Linked DNA regions of Oreochromis niloticus. The protein of the gene in region 3 interacts with the protein of the main gene of each other region in a pairwise test. Links are inferred from orthologs where the notes say so. Each region holds a gene or a part of one and is shown on either strand. Other genes may lie near its edges. The genes, in order: ttc19, trim55b and tcap.

Evidence for each region.
Region 1: the proteins of tcap (region 3) and ttc19 interact in binary tests that used the Homo sapiens proteins (3 or more experiments, as listed by UniProt). The link is inferred for Oreochromis niloticus from reciprocal best matches to the Homo sapiens genes TCAP and TTC19.
Region 2: the proteins of tcap (region 3) and trim55b interact in a two-hybrid assay, tested with the Homo sapiens proteins (2 studies listed by BioGRID and IntAct). The link is inferred for Oreochromis niloticus from reciprocal best matches to the Homo sapiens genes TCAP and TRIM55.

What each region holds. Positions count from the first base shown.
Region 1 is NC_031982.2:34,780,640-34,787,632, reverse strand, and holds the start of ttc19 (tetratricopeptide repeat protein 19, mitochondrial), read right to left. Parts: upstream 3,065-6,993; 5' UTR 3,009-3,064; coding exon 2,911-3,008; intron 2,500-2,910; coding exon 2,372-2,499; intron 2,151-2,371; coding exon 2,059-2,150; intron 1-2,058. UniProt on the Homo sapiens protein: Required for the preservation of the structural and functional integrity of mitochondrial respiratory complex III by allowing the physiological turnover of the Rieske protein UQCRFS1.
Region 2 is NC_031974.2:19,332,690-19,340,604, reverse strand, and holds the start of trim55b (tripartite motif-containing protein 55b), read right to left. Parts: upstream 3,091-7,915; 5' UTR 2,570-3,090; coding exon 2,450-2,569; intron 2,163-2,449; coding exon 1,993-2,162; intron 638-1,992; coding exon 460-637; intron 310-459; coding exon 214-309; intron 1-213. UniProt on the Homo sapiens protein: E3 ubiquitin ligase that plays an important role in regulating cardiac development and contractility, muscle growth, metabolism, and fiber-type differentiation.
Region 3 is NC_031969.2:27,060,437-27,066,688, forward strand, and holds tcap (telethonin), read left to right. Parts: upstream 1-3,851; 5' UTR 3,852-3,994; coding exon 3,995-4,143; intron 4,144-4,387; coding exon 4,388-4,778; 3' UTR 4,779-5,664; downstream 5,665-6,252. UniProt on the Homo sapiens protein: Muscle assembly regulating factor. Mediates the antiparallel assembly of titin (TTN) molecules at the sarcomeric Z-disk.

The DNA.
Region 1 (6,993 bases), on a different chromosome or scaffold from region 3:
ACGTGCCTATATAACCTGCAATAAGAAGAGTACTGTGTGACTCTCATTAGAGACTTCACCCCATGTACATGTGATTGATTATATTGTCTCACTGTGTCTCTGTTTTACTTTGGCAGCCTTCTATTTGGGAGATTTCCCCCGACACTGTGTTTTGCCAGAAACGCCAGATTCTCAGATTAAAGCTCACAAAACTATTTCAACAACCACCAAACAGTAAATGAGAGCAGGCACACGGATTCCACACAAAGACGTAAACACAGACCTGATGCATCAGAATCAGCTTTGTCTTTCTCGGCTTTCTCACCCCACGGCCCGAACACGGACACGCTGTCGGAACTTAGCAATTCTGATGCGTCGGGTCGGCGCTGTGTTTCCGTCTTTTTGCGCTGATTCTGAGCTGCAGGTTTTGTCTCTCCAACCAAAATTCGCCGAGCCAGCAGCAAAAGAAGCAGCAAACTACGCTTCACATTTGATCAATGTCGTCATGAATTCCCTCTGACTTTTGCTGTTTTGCTTCCACCACGATAAAAATCACACTTCATGCACAGCTCCCTCTCTCTCTCTCTCTCTCCCTCTCTCTCTCTCTGTACATCAAGATCAGTTTCCCGTCTCAAATCTCTGTTTTCTGCATTATTCATTGGCTTATTACCCACCAGTCTACCGTTGTTTACAGCGCTGTCGGCCGCTGTCTTTTTCTTTTCTTTTTCTTTGTTCACTTATATGACCTCGGACAAGAAAGCCTAATTTCTGCTGTTCAATACTGAAGAAATTTAAACTTTTTAAAATTATGCAAAATTGCAGAATATTTTTAAGGTTATCTGCTATAAAACGCCAGACCAGGAAAATCTCCTTCATGTTTTTCTGTGTTTTATTCTCAGTTACTTTGACACAAAGGCATCTGCTGTGATGTTCACAATTCTGATGAAGTCTCACATGTATCAGTGCTGATAAATGATCAGAAATATAATATTTCTGACTGTCTGAGGCTAAATTGAATCGAATCAGGACTTTGAGAACCAGAATCGAATGGATTATAGAAATCAGTGATGATACCCAGCCCTAGTGAGCAGCCTAGGCCTGACAGAGTGGATGTAGCTGTGGGTAATAAGAAAAGATGAAAAGAACTATTGACAACTTTTGTGTTAAGTTAAGGACTGATCCGTCTGAAATTCACAGCCAGCTCTGACACGGTGCCATCAATCTCTGAATGCTGAAAAAACAGCAGTGTATCCAGAAAACACATTATATGCTGCAATAAATGCACTGCCCAAGTGTCCCCTCTCCCCACTGCCTTTCAGCAGCAGGCAGCAGCAAACAGGTCGTCAGAGGAGCCGAGATGATGATTAAGTTTAACATTTTCTACAGTATTGCCAAAGAGTGCCAACGCACTTTAACTACAAGATTGTTAGTTAATAATTTAGAAATGAATATTGTCTGTATGGACAGCAATTTCCCCCCCAAAAAAGTGCACATGTAAAACTGCGGTGTTAACTGAGGCGGTTGAAAAATTTGAGTGCGCCTAACTTCTGTGCTTTAAAAAAAACGTTAGGCACACCGGTGCAACCGTGGCAAAAAGTTAGTCTAGAGCCCTGTGTCACACACCTGTCCCCGGACTCACACCTGACTCACACCTGTCCCCTGGCTCACACAGACTCAGCCTTTGTTCATAAAGTGCTTTACAAAGCCCAACATCACGGCTAACAGCTGGTTTTTACCAAAACAGCCACTTCCTGCTGCAGACAGTAAAGTGGACGCTTTATCCTGGTTTATAACATGAACTCATCGCTGCAGCACTACAGTCAGATGACCACAACCAACCAATCACATGAAGTCACACTCCACGCTGACAGCAGATGGTGCTGTCAAGTAACTTTGTTACTTAAACCCAGCGTCACAGACAGAGTTCCACCTGTGTGAGAGCACGGTCAGTGTTTCATGTCCTCTTTAAGCACCACTGGTCAGGACACACTATTCTTTAATATACAGCATCACCACACACACACACACACACACACACACACACACACACAGTAGCACTGCTGTGTGTGTGTGTGGTACCTTGGCTTTCTTTAGCAGCAGGATCATCTCGTCCTCCTTCCTCTGAGCTTCATCACGTTTGTCTTCTTCACTGCTGCCAAACAGAGAGAAGGCTGCACACACACACAGAGGTGATGATGTAAAATCAGCAGATTTTTGACTGGAGTTTGGTTCAGTGACTCAGCAGCCGTGTTAACACGCTCCTGATCCTAAGCTTTTACTTTGAAAGGTGTGCTGGAGAGCCCTGACTGCAGCTCAGTGTGAGGTCACAGAGGTCACAGGAACCTGCAGGTTATGAAAGCTGATGAAGAACAATGTTTGTAACCAACCGTACCGAGCGCTGCCCACAGCACCCCTCCTCCTCCTCCGCTCACGGTTACCCAGCATGCCGAGCAGCGTGAGCCCTCCACAGGATGTGATGTCACAGCGGTGTTCTGACATCTGACAGTGTTAATGCTCAGACTGCAGAAGCAAAAGAGAGTAAAAACTTCAAACTTTTAGTTCACATACACATGATATGGTTGCCACGGTTACTGTCATATTACCACGTGGTTACACCTGGTTGACAAGTTCTGGTCATGTGTTTGTGTGTGTGTGTGTGTGTGTGTGTGTGTGTGTGTGGCCTCCTCTCTGTGTGGAACAGAGCAGGTGCAGATGTTATTCCAGCTGTTCTGCTGCTGATGTTTGTTGTTGTCAGAAATTCAAACCAGCAACCTTCCTCTGCCCATCAGCACTGAACGCTGCCTGCAGTGATGGGGACCCGAGAAGCTGTAAAAACTGCGGATTTTTGAATGGACTCTGGTGTGAGGACGCGGGAGGCTCAAATCGTGTGAAATGTGACCGGAGCCTGGTGCGTAGGTTTCAGTCGCTCACCTGTGTGCAGCTCGCGGGTGATGCAGGCTCCGCCCGAACCCCCCGAGCCTGCTCAGAGTCTGCCTGAGGACAGCACGGAGAACACCGGAGGCCGCCATCTTTACTGTTTACATAACGAGCGGAAGACACGACGCCAGACACTGCGCCTTCAAAATAAAAGCAAAGAATCTCTCCAGTGTGGAATAACTGAAAAAATCGATCAGCAAATATCTCCACAAATATCTCAATTTCTTATTGAGATGTTATTAATCAAATACAGAGAATTTTACTCCATTCGTCATTGATTCTGATTTATTTTGAAAGGATAATTTCTAACACAGCCAAGTTATGATCGGTCGTGTCTTTATTGTAACCTTTCACTCACTGACCACTACAGGAAGTACACGTGCTCATCGATCAGAAATCCGACCAGCCCATCACAGGACAGCAGCTTCAGAGTCTGAAAGCAGGGGTCCATCCTGCAGTGTGATGGGGGCGGGGCACAGCTTACTTGAGTGTTGCTGCAAACCTCGTCCGTGCCTTTATGACGTCAGCGTACCATCTTTTGACGTCACAAAGCTCCGATGAGCTCAGACTGGTTTATTAAACATGACGCTGAGTTCATTGCACGCAGCCACAGATCTCAGTCCCGCAGAGCCCTGTGATGATGTCATGATAATGTCAAATGAACCAAAATCTGAATCCTGAAGAACGAAAACAACTCCGAAGCCAATCGGGCTCCAGCCTCCAGGCTGCTAGAGTGGCCTTTAATACACTCTCAGCCACTTTATTACGAGTTTTACAAACAGAGTTTTCAAAGTAAAAGAACAAATTCGACACACGTTTATCAAAGCTGAGACCGGAAAACCTTCAGAATCGAGCGTCTGGGTTCAAACGGCGAATCTGTGTGTGGGGTTCAAAGCTCAACACTGGGGCTGTGTCCGAATTCAGGGGAAGGATGCTTAAAATGCCATATTTGGATGCAATGACGTCACAGCGACACGACGAGGACTGTCCGAATTCAAAGAGCACTCAAAATGTGGCGACAAATGCGTCCTACTTTTCTGCGAATTTGAGGCGTAGCTGTGTCCGAATTCAGAGGAAGGATGCTTCGATGCCATATTTGGAGGCAATGACGTCACGGCGACGCGACGAAGGGTGTCCGAATTCAAAGAGTACTCAACATGTGCCTCCTACTTTGCCCTGAATTCTAAGGATGGTCCGATGTATCCTTCGTGTCCTACTATATCCCAGGAGTCATTGCGGGTCATAGAGGAGATTTGTTTCTGATAACGATGGTGGTCGCAGCAGGAGAGGAAAACACTTTCAAATGTAAGTATATGAAAATCTGCTTGTACAAAAGTTAAATTGTTATATCGGTCGTGTTGTTAAGCTTTGGGCATCTGCATAGACATGTTTCTTTTCTTTAAAATAACCGTAAACCAGCTTGTATCGGGGGTCCCGCGATTTTTCATGTATTGCCGCCTACATACAGCTAATTTTGATTTTTTTCGAATTGGTGATATGTTGTGGGGAACAAAGACCAAACGGCTTAATTTATTAAAACAAGGAGAAAACGATCGCCTCTTCACTGGGGTGAAGAATTGGGCCGCTACGGCGTGGATGTACAAGAATAAATCAATGTACACATCATATTCATATGAGTGCGGTCCTATTAACCCTCATGCTGTACAGCAGCGGTCCCCGACCTTTTTGCGCCACAGACCGGTTTATGTCAGACACGGAGCCTTTAAGGTATCGCGGATAAATACAACCACATAAAATGATCCGACCAAGACAAAAACTGTGGTATTTTGTAAATATAATAATAAACGTGAATGTACTGTGTAATTGTGTAACTTTATTAGCAGCGTCCTCCTGAAAATGCGCCAATATTGACAGTAACATCCTCCTCTCTGCCGCTTAATGCTCTCTGGTCGCTATGGCAACGTGTAAATATTTCTTTCAAAATAAGACACAACTACAACAAGGGAAAGACTCAGGGAAACCGAGTTAACGATAAAACCCCTGAAAACCATAAATTTCACACCGGAGCCTTAACTCTGTGGCCCGGTACCAAACGACTCACGGACCGCTGCTGTACAGAACCTGTGATGTCCAGACGGTGTTCCTCTGGTGTTCTGCTGTGAAAACCTTTGGGCTTAGGGATTAACATAGTTGCCATGGTTTCCTTTCTTCTCTTATTTGTTGTGTGTGATCAGGACAATTCTGGAGAGGATGGGCCTGCAGGGGAAAGTCACCCCCTTGCAGGCCAGAAGACATGAGATAACTTTAAAGAATACAAAGTACGTATGTGTGTTATCAAGAAGATAATTCTCAAGAACACAAGTTAATAAATGTGCAATTACTAAGAGTTGTTGTGGTGTTTTTATTTGCCTGCTGTCATTTTTGATTTCCTCTGCCTTTAGGATTGCAAGTATCCAGGCTCAGGAGAGGGGGTCAGTGGGAAGCCCACTGCTGCTACTTGGCCCTGGTTTGCCCTCATGGATGAGGTGATAGGACAGATGCCTTCCATTAGGCCTCCTGTCCTAATGTCCTCTCTCCCTGAGGACAGTCCAGGGCCAAGCACAGCAGTGGGTGACCAAAACGACAGCGATGACAAAGCGGCTCAGCCACCTACGACAGGGAGAAAGAGGAAAAGAGATGATGAGCTGCTAGACCTCATCAGAGAGGACATGAGGCAGCAAAGAGAGGCTGAGGAGAGGAGAGCAGGGAGAGGACGGACAGACTGTTTTCACTTCTAGAAAGATTAGTTCCCAAATGAGTTATGTATTGAGAAATTTATTTATTTGAATATATTTGTTACATTGTTATATGTGTTGCATTAGTTTAAAGGTTTTATGTTATTAATAAATTGATTCAAACAGACAGTAATTGTCACTGAACTCAATCTGATTTACAGGCATTTGTAACACGTATGAACATAACGCTAACTTTGAACAATATTACTTGGATATTTATTTGATAGCAATAAAGTAAATAACAATAACAATTAAACAAGAATATTTCAAATACACAGTATGTAAAGATGAAAAAACAACATTTACAGTTGTTCACACAGGATTAACCTGAGTGACCTGTTCCTGGACCGTTTCTTTAACAACTGTAATAGATTACAGGAAGTCTCTGGCAGTGTTGCTGAATCTGCCCGAGCAAGATCAGACGTGGATGAGCTGCTGCAACTGAGACCTGCGGTTTGTCTTTTCTGGTGGGCGAGTGGAGAATCACACAGGGTGGTCTGCAAAGAGCTTTAGGATGCTTCCTCCCACTGTCTACTGCATCCTCCATCCACAGGGTTTGCAGGGCTCACTCGTGGCTGCCACACCACTAAGATGTTTTCAGAAATATGCAAGCAGGAGATGGTGGATGCTATATTATTAGTATAATACTTGTAACTCTGTAGCAGACAACAGTTTGATAAAGTGCTATGTAAAAAAATAAACAAAAGATTAGATTCTATACGTTTCAAAGATATTTAGTTTATATATTTTATATGATACAGTACATGTGTGAGAATGACCGATGTTGTGGCAAAAAATGATCGTCTGCCAAAAACTGATTTCCGGTTTTTGCCCTAAACTGATTACTCGTATTTAACCTGCTATGAATAACTTGTTGGTCTATAATACGTGAAACATGTGAAATGTGTCCCTCATTAGTGATATCACGTCACTCTGAGCCACCAGCAACATTCCTGTAACAGGTAGAAGCTGCAATCAGTTTTTGGCAGTGACTTTTATATATCCTTTATTTATCCAGTTAAAAAAAAATCTTATTGGCATTAGAAATGTATTTTTTAAGAGTAATCTGGCCAAGAGGACAGCAGACAGCGCAACAAATATATCAATTGTACCTACATTATAACCAGAGTTATAAAGATACTTGAACAACAGGTAATTATTGTAGTAAACCATGTTCACCGAAGTCTATTTACCAACATACATAAAGATATTACACATATTACACTCGGAAACATTGGAAATCAGTTTTGGCAGGCGAACACTTTTTTGGCACAACACCGGCAATAATTAAATTATCCGTGTAATTAGCTACGTAATTCCTAAATGCGTGTAGATTAAAGGA
Region 2 (7,915 bases), on a different chromosome or scaffold from region 3:
TGGGAGATTAAAGCAGTCTGTGGAACCAAAACATTTATTTTCCTCTTACTGCCTCTCTGTCTAAATCTCACAGATGGATAAAAGCAGAAAGAGTGGCCGTGACAAGGACACATTACATCAGTTTGGTCGTCTGTGCAGGTACATTAGTGTGTGCACGGAGTGAGGCTTGCTGCGTGAGTGAGCGGCCAGGCACTGCAGCAGTCGGACACTGACCTCTATGGCACGACAGGCTTCCTCTAGCTGACTAATGATGCCCTGCATCCTGTCGTTGTTACCAACCACCATGGCAATCCCGTCACTCAGCTCCGTCTAGGGGGCAAGGACATGGCAGCATGACTACAGACTCAAATCTGGGGCAAATCTATGGTTACACTATGATATACTTCATGATGAAACTGTAAAAAACACATCACCATGGCTGACAGTATCCGTAGCCTTTGTAAGCATCTCAGGCCTCACCTTCTTCGTCTGGTAGATGCTGCTGAGAGGAGCCACCTCGCAGTCTTTGTGGGCTCCAAAGACCTTGCACATGGAGCACGTGGGCACACCGTGGGTCACGCAGTAAATGTTGATCTTTTCGTCCTCGTGAATATCACACATGGGCGTTTCTTCCTTTTTCTCTGGTGCTGGTTTGCTGCTGTTGAGGTGCGATGGAAATAGCGGTAGTATCCCGTGATGCTGCACATTTGCATACTGATGTGACATGCAGTGTCAGTTTGATAATGTCACTGTTACACATCTCGGCATCTAAACAGCTTATCGATGACCCATCAGGTGTGCCCTGCCATTCACATGCACTGCCAGCACTGTAATCAATAGGTCATCATCATTGCTGAGTAGTGTGGGAGCAAGCATACATGATTCATGTTTTTATACCTTAAAAGTTTTCTCCCTTTCCTTATTTCTTAAGTTTATACATATTTGTCACACCATCAGACAAAGATAATAAAAAATGAAGTTTTTAAATAATGATTTCATTTCAGTGAAAAAGCTATCCAAATGCACCTGCCCTGTGTGAAAAAGTAATTGTCCCCTAAACCTAATGACTAGTTGTGCAACCCTTGGCAGGAAGAACTGCAATAAAGCTTTTGGCGATATCTGGCAATGAGTCTTTCACATCACCGTGGAGGAATTTTGGCCTGCTCTTCTTTGCAGAATTGCTTTAATTAAAACACATTTAAAGGGGCTTTTGAGCACGAACAACCTGTTTAAGGTCCTGACTTTGAGTAGGTCGTTCCAAAACCTTACATTTGCTTGTTTTTAAGTCATTAAGAAAGGATAAATGTCAATCTTTGCAGGATGTGAATGTTTGCATTTTAGACCGAGGAGACAGTTTAAAAGACGATGACGGATCATTAACAACACCAACTGTCAACCACCTACAATGCAGTCTCAAGATCCGTTTCCCAGGCGGCTCAACACCCACTCACACGTTGCGCCAGGTGAACTCAACGGGTCACATAATGTGGTCTCACGCAAGATCTCGCAGTGATTTCATCTGAAGCCTCAGGTGGTAATGACCCACTCCTTTCTTCCCAGTTTGGCTCTTGTGATGATGGACAGGACTACTAGTCGGGCAACGATCACCTCTTAAGGGGAAATCCATTAAGGTTTAAATACCTGGCACTCTCTACGTTTTGGTCTCAGAACTGAAGAAGCATCTCGGATGAGAGGCTGTCATCCTATAAACTCTACTTAGGATAATGGTAATGAAATAATGTCACAACAGCAAAAAGTGTTGTGGATATCATGTCATACAAGCCTTTCAGTCATCTGCTGGATAAAAAATCTGTGTGGATGACTACTGCAAGTACAAACGTCCTCTCACCCACTGCAGATCTCTGACTCAGAAGCCAGAGTTAGTGTTTCACTTCCTGCTACTATACTTTACTGCCCTACAAGGCGAGTTTCACTAATAAAAACATCCTCCTGTCAGACATGAAGAATTCTTTTCATTTTCTGTTATTTTGACAAATGTCTGATCTGTCTCACCTGCTGGATTCTTGTTTGAACATGTCAATGATATTCTCAACCAACAGGTTCCTCTGCAGGCCGTAAACACCATGCCTGTCCAGAATCACCTCGTGTCTGCAGGACGGGCATCGGAAACGTCCACCAGAGGTCAACGAGCCGCTTCTTGTTGGAAGGTATGGGTTTGAAGCCTGTAAACGACAACAAGGGAAGCTCTGAATTTTGCATGACTGGGTTTTGATGGATAGCAGAAGTAAAATTAATTACATTGTTTAACTCAGCAGTTATGAAATATTAATCCAGGGGATTAACAGTCCATAACACAAACTTCAAACCACCATCATTAACATTCAATCCACATGTTTGTAAACAGAGCCTATAGGTGTTAAATTTATATGTCACTATTTGGGTCTTTGATATGTGAAAATTCAGACCAACTTTATAAATAAGTACCAATTTGAGCCATTCAATAGCTTACCTGGAAAACATCATTGGCACATTTTCTGCACAGGTTGTGCTGGCAGGGTAGGATGACCACAGGCTTTGTAAACATTTCCAAGCATATTGGACAAATCAGCTGTTTCTCCAAGTTGTCCATGGTGTCAACGATTTCACACGCAACTAAACAACTTAAAAAGTCTGAAAAGTTTAGTATGAAGTCCTTTCTAAAAGCAATCTATCATAGGCCCAGCTTCAGGCTGAGTAGTAGGCCTGTTATGTTTGTCCTAGCGGGTGTAGACTCCTATCTCCTCTGTGTCAGTTCTGTTTTTAGCAGCTACTGCTGTCACGTCTAAGGTTGCCATTTTTGCCTTGTCCATATATGAAACTAAGTAGGGCAGTGCTGAAAAGCAGCCCATCCCCAGCCTCTTCTACACGGGGTGCCATGTGGCTATGTGTTTGAGAGGATAGGGGCAAGTCATTTGGCAAGTGATGCAATCATAGGCTAACTTTGATTGTGACTTTTATATCTAAAATTATTGATAGCATCTGACAGTCTCTACTGAAAACACCTAGTACTCAGTACCTTTTTACCATGTTGCCGATCAAGTGCCAGCTTTGCATTAATGTTAACTTAGACAATAGACAGCAGCCGGAAGCTATCAAAAGTGACTTCCAGTCAAAGTTGGGAGGAGACCATTACGTAAGAGGGAAGATAACCACGCACAGGAGAGGTTTGTTACAATCCTAGGTTCGCTGGCTAAGCTCCTAGTTAAAGGAGTGATCGTGATTTTACCTAGCATTAAACAAACTATGGCATGTGTAAAGCATTTTTTGCACATGGGTATTTGCACTTAGAGAACAGCATAAGGACGACAACCGTAACATTAGGTGTATTCACCGCATCCTTAAAAGTAGGTGATAACTGCTACTATTTTAAAAAGAACAATTCAGCTAAAATATTTTGGTGTTTGTTAGCGTGTTCGAGGCCTTACATTGAAGGAAAAATGAAAATGTTATTGGAGAATGCGGGCATCGATCCCGCTACCTCTCGCATGCTAAGCGAGCGCTCTACCATTTGAGCTAATTCCCCGGTACGGAAGTTGTTCGTTGTGTGTGTATTTATTGTTCGTGAGATACGTAATTGGTTCAATGTGACGGTGTAGTGTTTGATATATTTCACATATCATGCCGAAATACAGTGCGGTAAGGTAGCATTATTAAGCTGTCTAGGTTAGCTCTAACAAATGTGAATAATAACAGGGTTTAATAGCTGCTAAGTTATTGAAAGGCTCGCAATGTTAAAGTTCCTTTGAGGGCAACCAAGTTACTTCAAATATGTGGGGAAACTCTCACACACAACTATTTAGCTCAAGTGGAAAACAGTGGCGAATGCGAATTTCCAGAAAACATGTTAACCGAAGAGGGCGTCCGCCATATCTGCCGATCTCATAAATACACAGGGGGTGGAGGTAGTCGTCAGCTCCCTTCGATAGCTCAGTTGGTAGAGCGGAGGACTGTAGTGGCTTCCCAGGCATCCTTAGGTCGCTGGTTCGAATCCGGCTCGAAGGAGAGAAATTTTTTTTTTTTTCCCTCCCCTAAATTCAATTTTGAGCGCTTTTACAAATTTGCTAAGAATTGCTGTTCTATGAAGCTTCTCTAATCATTTCTTTTAATGAAAATACATATTTCAGATGTTGAAACAAAATGGCTAGTATTGGCAGTTAATGTATTTTTCTACAAATAAATGCAAATCCATAAAAACAGATGATGATTTTCTTAAACTTTCCCACAAAATCAAGTAGAGTTTTGGGGTGTATAAAAAATAGAAGTGAGCTTGAAAATGTTTGGCACTGCACTGCCTGCAGTGATGGTCTAGTCAGCATAAATACACAGCATATCCTGCAAATCTGCTGTGCATGTTAAATAAAAAATGATCACACCTGCAAGCACTGTTCAAAAAGGGAATTTAAAAGTGATTGTTTAGTGTTTGATTATCTCTCCACTCGTGATGAAAACAAACTTTATCACTTTGTTTGACTGTGAAATGACTTATAAAGGTGCTGCGAACACATTCAGATGGATGACTCAGAGACCGTAATTAACAGTTGTGTGGAGGACTGTGGCAAGCGTCACACACTAATAAAGCGCCTTTGTTTATTTCTGTGCTGTTGCACGATTGTTATTCCTCCGTCCACTGATTCTCATTAGCGGTATTTCAATTACAAATTAAAACCCCTGTCCTCTGCTAATGGAGTGCTCATCTTCATGAATCTGTATGAGTTCCTCACTTTATTTCCAAATATTTGTCACGTCTAAATGTCCCATGCAAACGAAGCAATTAAAGATGCACTTTTTCAAAACATTTGACCTATACAAAAAAATTTACATACTCTTTAATTAGAAACTCAATGTCAAAGCGAACGTAGCAGGATCCTCATAGTGGAAGCTTCTGACCCATTTAAGCATACCTCATCTTTTTCTTTTTTCTTTTCATCTGACTCATACAATATGACATCTGCCTTCCTCGCACCTCTTTTCCTTTTATATAAAGCCACATGGATGTGCACACAGTGCTTTTCATGCAGAATCAGTGAGTCATATTTAAACATTTTAGACAGATGTCATTACTGAAAATGAATGAATGTCTCTCTCACACTCTCTAATTTGTCTCTTTGTTTCATTTAGTGTCCCCCTCCGGGGTTTGCAAGTTAGGAATCAACTTTAAGAAATGAGAAAAAGGTAAAAAATAAATAAATAAATAAAATGGGGAAAAAAGGATGAGAAATATACACATTCAAATAGTAAAGTTCCCATCTCTTGTGATTTGCAAGTCTATGTAAATGTAAAACAGCGCTCTTACTAATTTTGTCATTTAGCTTTTTATGTGTGTCTCACCCAGTTCTCCTTTCTGTTGATGTGTTTTTTCTCTGTGATGTACTACAAATGAAGTTTTTAGTCATTTTGTGATGCTGTGGGCACACCACTTTATTCAGTTTTAATCAGTAATCTCTAAAAAGGCTGAACTAGCATGATTACATATTCATTAGCGACAAGCAGAGGCTGCTCAGATGCTCACCATTTAGATAAAAGTGAATTCAAATGAGATCAATTAAGGAGATGTTCTGGGTTATGTCTTTGTGATTGAAGTGAATTCATAATTTTTCATCCATTACTATCTGACTCATAATATTGCAGCGCCTGTTAGTAAAAATCCAACAAAGATTGACAAATTAAGAGCAGTGTGGAGATTACTTGGAGATGAAAGGCCAACATGAATGCCAGACAGTGCTGCCTTTGAGGCTAAAAGCTGCCAATTTAAAGAGCACAGTGTGAAACTCCTGTTCCCCTCTTTCGCTCGGCGTTGGTAAGCGGTGCTTTGCGTGAATCGTAAAAAAGGTCTGCATGCACTGCCAAGGCCATGAAATACACCTGCGCTCGCACATAACCGCACACATAAGATGTCTACAAACTCATAAGCAAGATGAAAGTGTATAGGGGACCAGAAAAGGGAGCAGAGCAAAGGGTGCCATCTGTTCACTTGTATGAATATTTCAGTTAGGTGGAAGTCATATTGTATTCACGCAGATGGCAAGCAGTCAGTGGCTGTGATTTAAAAACTCTCTGCGAGCAATTCCAGATAATGTCCATTTCTTCATCTCCATATCTGTCCTAAATGATCCACTGAGCTGAGAGTCTTTGGGTCAGAAAAAGTATGATCATACCCTAGAATGAATAGTAATTTTAAAGGTAGCAGTAATTCACCGTGGATTCGCTTGGGATGAAGAAATATTAATGTAGAACAGTATTTAGCAAGACTTAAAAGGTATTCCACCTTAAATTTACACAGACACTATCAGCTAGGCTTCACATTATTTTTAAATGCCAAGGATGTAGTTAAAAAAAAGCAAGGTCAGATCTTTATCCATTTATGCAACTTCTGGATAGTTCGGGTCTGAACTAGTGATACTCTGGGCAGTTTAGAGGATTTGCCGTCACTGTGTTAATGTTGCAAAAGAACGAAATGATAACGCAGGCCTGTTTACGATACTGTGATGCTATGAACAGTACTGCTGAGGTCATACTGGGGTTTTGTCTGGAGTTACATACACAGAGATACAGCAGTTGTACACCAAATATTTATAGTTGATTTAGCTGCAGCATTCACATTTATTATCTCCAAGAAACAGAAGATCCAGTGCTCGGTGGTGACCCTGATTAGATTTTTAGTGAGTCCTCTTAGTTATCCCAGCTAATAGATCTTTTCTCTGGCGTCTCCAAATGCACAGTGATGATAAGTTATAAAAGAAAACTACATGCGGTCCTGTGTACTGTTACAGCCAAGAGTTTGGATAATATAAGAGGTACTTCATTGTAAAAGTAAGCAATCCCCTATCATATGAATAAATGAGCAGGAACCTTAAACATGCAGTGACCTTTAAGCTTAGCAGTTAGAAGGTGTGCCTCTACTTTTTGGTATTTTTTTTTAAAAGAATGCATTTCAGATTATCCTCTAAAATGCTTCCAGGTTCATCTGTACCTGTCGGACTTTAGTAGCTTCTGGTCTGCAGACCTTTAGCAGATCAAGAACAGTACAGTACCTTATCCTGTTTGTTTTAAATGAACAATATCATGAAAATCTAATTGGGCATAATGAAATAGTGTCACACTTTGTAGATACATCTTACTTGTTTTAATCGTAATAAATAGATACGTTTTCTAGTACTCCATTGCTGTGTATATAATTAGAAGTTATTTTTGACCCTACCTTCATCACTGACATGCTTTTATTTAAATAAGTAGCAGTGTTTTAGGGCAGAATGTGTTTTAGAAGCAGTCATCAAGAATACTGATCATTTAAGCTATGAAAATATTTAATATTTCTTTATATTTTCTGTTTGTTAGTGGGATTAATGAAAGAAATTACAGGCTGGGATCCATGACAATATAAGTAAAGGTCAGGCTTGAATCAACTCAGACGTGATCTCATCATGTTGAGATCACGTCGTTTGTGATCAAACTCACTGAGTCACAAACTCACTGAGTCACTTTCCAGCCATGCTAAGCTACTTAAAAATACTCAAAACAACCCCCAAAACTCAAAGAGTGACTCTGAAAAAAGGCTCAATCAGCACTTTTCCAGTAGCCACATTATCTTTGGCTTTAAATATTAGAGTCCGTCCACTATACAGGCCACTAACATCTGTATTAAGATCTCATTTAAAATGCACCTCTCATGCTGTTGTATAATATGGCTCAAAATTGCACAACTTGGCTCAGTTGTGTAACAAAACATGTCAACCTACAATGTTTTAGAGCGGAAACATCCCAATCTTGTCATCCATAGATTGATGGAGCTGGACCGGGTGATCCTGAATCCTCCCTTAGTTATGCTTAGTGTTTCTTCTTCACACACACACCACTCCTCATTTAACTACTTATTATTACTCTCTGGCTCTCTTCCACAGTGTGTCTTTTGTCCCGTCTTCTTCTGCTCACACCCAAC
Region 3 (6,252 bases):
TTTGCGTGACTGAGATGGAAGGATGTTTTTCCTGTTCAGCAATTTGCTGAAAATGTGAAAGATTTATACAAGTATGCGATAGTTTGTTTTGGTGTGAAATTACCTTGAAATAAAGTTCCAGCCTAAAGCCTGTTTTATGTAATGCCACATGCATCTTTCTCATGTCAAGTTGCTTGCTATTTATAAAGTTACATAAATTCAAACGAGTGAAATAGACTCTAATTTTCAATGATATTTAAATTTACGTTCAGTTAAGTGTACCGAACAATGGAAACTGTGGCATGGGAGCAGCAGTCTTTTGAAGTGGAACATAAGAATCTTCTTCATCTGTCTGTATACTCTCACGTGGCCCGTCAGCTGTGCATCCATGGCTGGCTTGCACTACTGTCCTGTTCCGAAGTGGCATGTCCAGCGTCTGACCGTCCCAGTGAGACCAGACTGGGTTGGAAGATGGATGGTGATAATGGTGTTTTGGTAGTCAGCTGTTTGTTGTTGTTATGTAAGAGAGAGCAATACACTGTCGAGGGCACATGTTTGAACACGGCACCAGCCCGATGGTACAATGGCGCACAGATACACAAATAACTGGTAACAACTGAGTGTTATGAAGCACTAAAGTTGATACTGTGTGCAGGAATTAATACAAAGCCAGATCCCTTCTTATTATCAAGTACTCTGTGTCAGGTTGACCTGTTCCTCTCTCCTCCCAAAGTCATTTTCGTGTTACAAATAAATCAGACTTAAAGTTCCCCTCTCACAATATTTTGCCATATTTACCACCTCCTGACAAGCCTTGGCTTTATCCTGCAATTGCCCTTCTCTTTCTGTTTTCCCACCTACTCCCTATCTCTTTCGCGGTGACAGCTCATTTAAATGTCACTTTGCAGCAGCTGTGGCGGTGCTCTTATGCAACACAAAGTTCTTCCTGGCCGAGCCAGTCCTAGTGCGGGTGGACAGACGAGGACGTGGGGGGTGATCACTGTGACAGACCTAACCTCATCACTGCTCACCTTTACAAACTATCCACACACCCCTGGCTCCATTTGTATAGCATGACTCACCCGAAAACAGCTAGGAAAGGGCCATTTGATGGCCTCTTGGATTTTGGCTTGTGGATGTACAAATAAATAGACAGCACAAATTTAAATTGTCACTCTGTGTATTACAACTGACTGCTTCGCATAAAGTAGCTTCTAATAAGACATGACCTCAACACAGAAGGAGCTTGCATGGTGACTTACTGGGTTTCTGAAATGGCATTCATGGTTGTCATGGTGTCATAACATGACTGAATCAATGACCCAGGAGATGCTTATCGTTTTCTTTTCTCAGTATGACACTGAGCGACATTTTACATATGTACTGGCAGCCTGCTGGGAGATTGTTGAAGGAAAAGTGAAATATTGTTGGAATTTGCAGGCAAATGGATGTTAGCCTTTAACTGTTGCCTTAAATATGCACGACATGAAGAGTCAGTGGTGAGGAATAGCATTAATTTACCCGAAGTCAAGAAATATAGGCAAAGAATCACAAAGTTATGATCATATTTGTTTTTCAGACAATCTGGCACAGTACAGCAAAAACCTTAAAAGAAAATAAAAAACTGATTAACACATCAGGCTTCTTTTGCTTGGGATGATTATATTTTGTGCTGTGTGTGAGGTATATGATATCTGGTATATGATGATATCAGTACCTGATGTGGATTAGTGAGTCAGAAACGGGAATCGGTAGTAACATCAGACCAGCAGATAACTGTCAGAGGTGAGTGTGAGCGTGTGTGCGTGTGTGTGTTTCACAGTCTGTAACCCGAGTTGATTATGGCCTGCATGGCGCTCTTTCACTGAGGTAATGAATCACTGGAGACTGAGTTCTCACTGCTACTGTGAGACAGTGCAGTGTAATGGCATCTAATGAGGGGGTATGATGTTGTCATGAAGCCTGGCGGGGGTATAAACTTATTCAAAGCTGTATTATGAATAAAAAAACAGCATGAAAAAAATGACACTGCTACATAAACTTGTATGGGTTTTTCACCATTTTTCTCACAACTGACTGAATATAAAAGATGGATGTTGCCTCAGTGACATAATGTGGTTTGTGAACTCACATTTTGCAGCCTCTATAGCTTCTGTGTTATTTTTGTTTTTTGGAGCCAGAGGTGACAATATTTAGGCAAGTGTGTAAAATGCTAATTTGTCAGCTAGCTTGACAAATGTTGTCCTAAAGCATGGAAAAAATTTTGCATTTCTTTTTCCTGGTTCTCATTTTGATGTTTTTTGGCTTCATGTCTAAAACATTGTGGTTAACACAAACTTTAGATAATTTTCACATGTTGCTATAAATATTTAGTCAGGTATTTGCTTGCTTATCTTACATTATAAGCAAGCAAATCACTCATGAATTTTGATCCAACAGATGGCGTGTGCTGCCAATCATCAAATTAGACTACAGAAGTTAGCTTGGTATGGCCACCTTTATTCTTTAACCTGAATGATGGTAGGCAAGCTTTTGTCATTTCTTCAGAAATTCTTCAGTCATCTTTAGAAATAGGGGTTTCAATCCATGACTAATAGTGCTCCCATGTGTTTTTCCATATATATATTCTTTTTCTCCATTGGCAGTGTGTTTGAGATCAATGTCATGCTGAAAAATGAAGCAGTCAAACACTTAACACACCAGATAGTACTGCATTGTGAATCAAAATCTGAGGGTTGCATCCATCTACTCTGACAAAATCCCCCAAACCATCACAGAGCACAGAGATGAGTCCACTGTCAGAGGCTATAAGATGATCATTTATAACCTTCGCTAAAGCTTTTTCTGTCCTGTAATGAGTTCTGAAACATGACTGAAACTCTTCAAATAAACCATCCCTCTGCAGATTATCAGTAAGCTGTTTTACATCTACTTTTTCAAGATTTTTTTAGATGAAAGGAAGGTTGGAGATTGGCCTATAATTACCTAAAACCGTTGGGTCACGTGATGGCTTTTTAAGTAACTGTTTAAAGAAAGAAAAAAGAAAGAACTGCACTGAAAATTAGTGGGAAAAACTGTTGCTCAAGACTGCTTTAAAAAATTACAATTCTTGTAACTGAAAGAAAAATATAAAGATATAAGGGTAGCTCAAGACGTTTGTACACCACTTGATTTGAAGTCATGAGGTGTCAGACACAGCAACATCATAAATTATGTCCTGCAATAATTTAAAAGTTAAAGTTAAAAACAAATATTGTGAATTTCACAAAAAAAGTACAATCTTCTTGGATGGAGTGAAGCCTGACAGATTGCTAATTGATACAACTATGTCACATGACAGTTAAAGCCGCCACGCCCCAATCGTATGAACTTTAAAAGGTTATAAAATTCAAATGGTTTGAAGTTTGCTCTTGTAACATTCAACTCTTGAAGCCTAACTCAAATTGACATTTGAGTTACTGTAGTTTCTGGGTCTACAAGGTTGGCTTCGGTTGGCTCTCCTTTGCTGCTTTGTGTATATCATGGCTATAATCTTATTAAGATTCCTCTGCTAAGTCTAAACCATTTGTGTCTGTCTGTGTACATGTTTACATTATTCCATCCATAGTTTCTATAATATGTCCCCCTCTGTGATCACAAGTGAAATGGAAAGAGTTGGGCTGAGTGATTACAAGAGCAGGCCCAGCATTCAATTTGAGAATCAGGGGATTTTCAGCCGTATTACCCCTGAACCCCACTGCAGGGAACCTTCCAGCTGTCAGGGAATGAGGCACGGAGGACTTGGTGTCAGATGTCCAAGCACACTGATTGTAGAGTGACAACATGAATCCAAAATAGAAACAGAGCATCTATAAAAGCTGTGGACAGACCTAAGCCTGGACATAGACAGCACTAAGAAGGACAGAGATAGTGGAAGAGTAGAAATAAAGCCGACTGAAGCATCACTGTTTCCTGTTACCTTAGGACTGATCAACAAGACCCACTCAAGGCGATAAATCTATCTGCACCTGAGAAGATGCCAATCTGTACCGTGCTGGAGAAGAGCAATGGTGTGCTGGTGGGAGCTGAGCTGACCTGCAGTGTGAGGGAAGAGAACAAGGCTCAGAGGGAGAGCTACACTGCTGACTGGCACAGCGTTAGTCTCAAGACTCAACCTCAAGACAGGTAGGACCAATGAGATCATGTCTTATTATAGGTAACACCCTATAATATGATAAGTTGCTTTTAAATGAGAGGAAAACATTCACTAGGCTGTAATTTCAAACTTTTCTTACTCTCATAAAATATGGATGAAGATTGACTTGAAAATTATTCTCATAGTGAAAAGCAGTTAAATGTTAATTGGGAAGGTAAATTACAATAAGGCCCTCAATAGTTTCTAACTTCAACATTTCTTTGATGCCCACAGGCAGACCATGAACATGAACGACACTTCTCGTAGGGAGACTCTGTCCCGGCAGTGGCAGGCACGTTCACTGACACAGAAGTGTCCCTCTGGTGTCTTTAGGGTGGGCACAGTGGAAAGAGGGGTCAGGGAGCACCAGTTGCTTCCAAAGAGAAACACCCTTCCCTTGCCCATCTTTACCCCCGCAGAGCTGGGCGTCAGGCTCGGACGTGGCGCGCCACACACATTGGAGGACCTGCAGCCATTTCCCACTCCAGATGGAGTGTGTCCCAGCAAGAGGACGGTGGACGAAATCACCAGAGATCTCCCTCCAGTCAAGCCGACCCTCATGGAGTTTGCCAAAGCACCCAAAGCCCTGGGGCGCTCCATGTCTCAGGAGGCCCAGAGAGGGTGAAAAACAAAAGGACAAAAGAAAAAGAGGGGATGCTAGGGAGAGACGAGAAGGATGACAGATGGGAAAGAATATTCAATAAGCAGAGTGTGTCTGGAAACATTATGACAAGATGTATATAGATTTACCTCTAGTGACATCTAATACTGTAGAAGTTTAGCACTCTAAATGTCATATCTTGTCATTGTTGGCATTTTATAGTGAGTGGTATTAGAAGTGGTTATGAGAAGATGTTTGCATTCGGACAGGGAAGCAAGGTGTTCTCTTAGCTGTGCCAAGGCCAGTCTGTGCATGTGCTGGCCAGCTGGCCTCGACATATCTGTTAATCGTTCAGTGTGACCTAACATTTGTACGCACTGGTGCACCTTAACCATTTCTTTAGCCCTTTTTTTGAGTATCGGAAAGTACAGTCTTCATGGTGTAAATGAAAGTGTTCAGAATAAATAAATAGATGGAAAAATATGACAAAGGATGGGAAGAGAAGGGAAGAATCAGAGGGGAAATGGAGGGCTGAGGGATCAGGAAACATGCCTTAGAGCTGGTCAGCCTCCAGGACTGCCTGCCAGTCTTTCATCTGTGTGAAGGGTACAGAATGCACTGGCAAGATCAAATGCTGCAACTGTAGATATGTGTGTGTCCCTCTCTGTGTGAGTGTTGGCACGTCTAATCACAATAACTTAGGAAAACCAATAAACTTTTTTTTTAATGTGCATTAACTGATCTGCCTTTTTAGTCGAGTGGCAGCTCATATTTATGTCTGATAGAGGAACCGATACTGTTATAGCTTAGAATACCTGTGGTCATGTAAATGAATCTGAATTGTGTGTAACAATGCTGTAATATTTTGTTAGACATCTATTATTTTTACTAATAAAAGGTGAACTACTCATCACCTCTCTGTCTTTATGGTTGATGCCTGAAGTGCAACATAAACTTAATTTGATTACATTTTATTTGTGGTACAACATGAAAGAATACAAAACAGCAAATGATTAAAGCCTAATATAGACTAGATTGTTTTTCCAAGGATTCGGGAGGGACATTAATAGCTCTACAATGACCTGCAGGTTTACCACTGTGTGAACCGAACAATATAAGAGAATGGATGAAAATGTATTGGTTCCTGAGGTCAGTCGGTTGTGGGTGGAAGAAAAGGAGAAAATAAATATAAATGTGCAAATAAATATGCATGCAGCAACCAGAGGTTAGAGGCCAAACCATGACTTGTTCCGGTAACAGAACAAAGGATCACTTGCATTATGAAAACATGCATTTTGGGAGGCACCGTTATGAGACAAAGATGCAATAAACAGCTGGGGATCTGTCAACTATAATTTAGATAAGAATGCATTTTCACTGTGCCCTCCACCCTTTAGAACAGACCTCACTTTACGTCCCTCATTTATCTTTTATGTGTTTGTTCTCAATCACAGAATGCACTCATCCGCTCTTAGTGTGCACAGCTGAAATAGAAGTA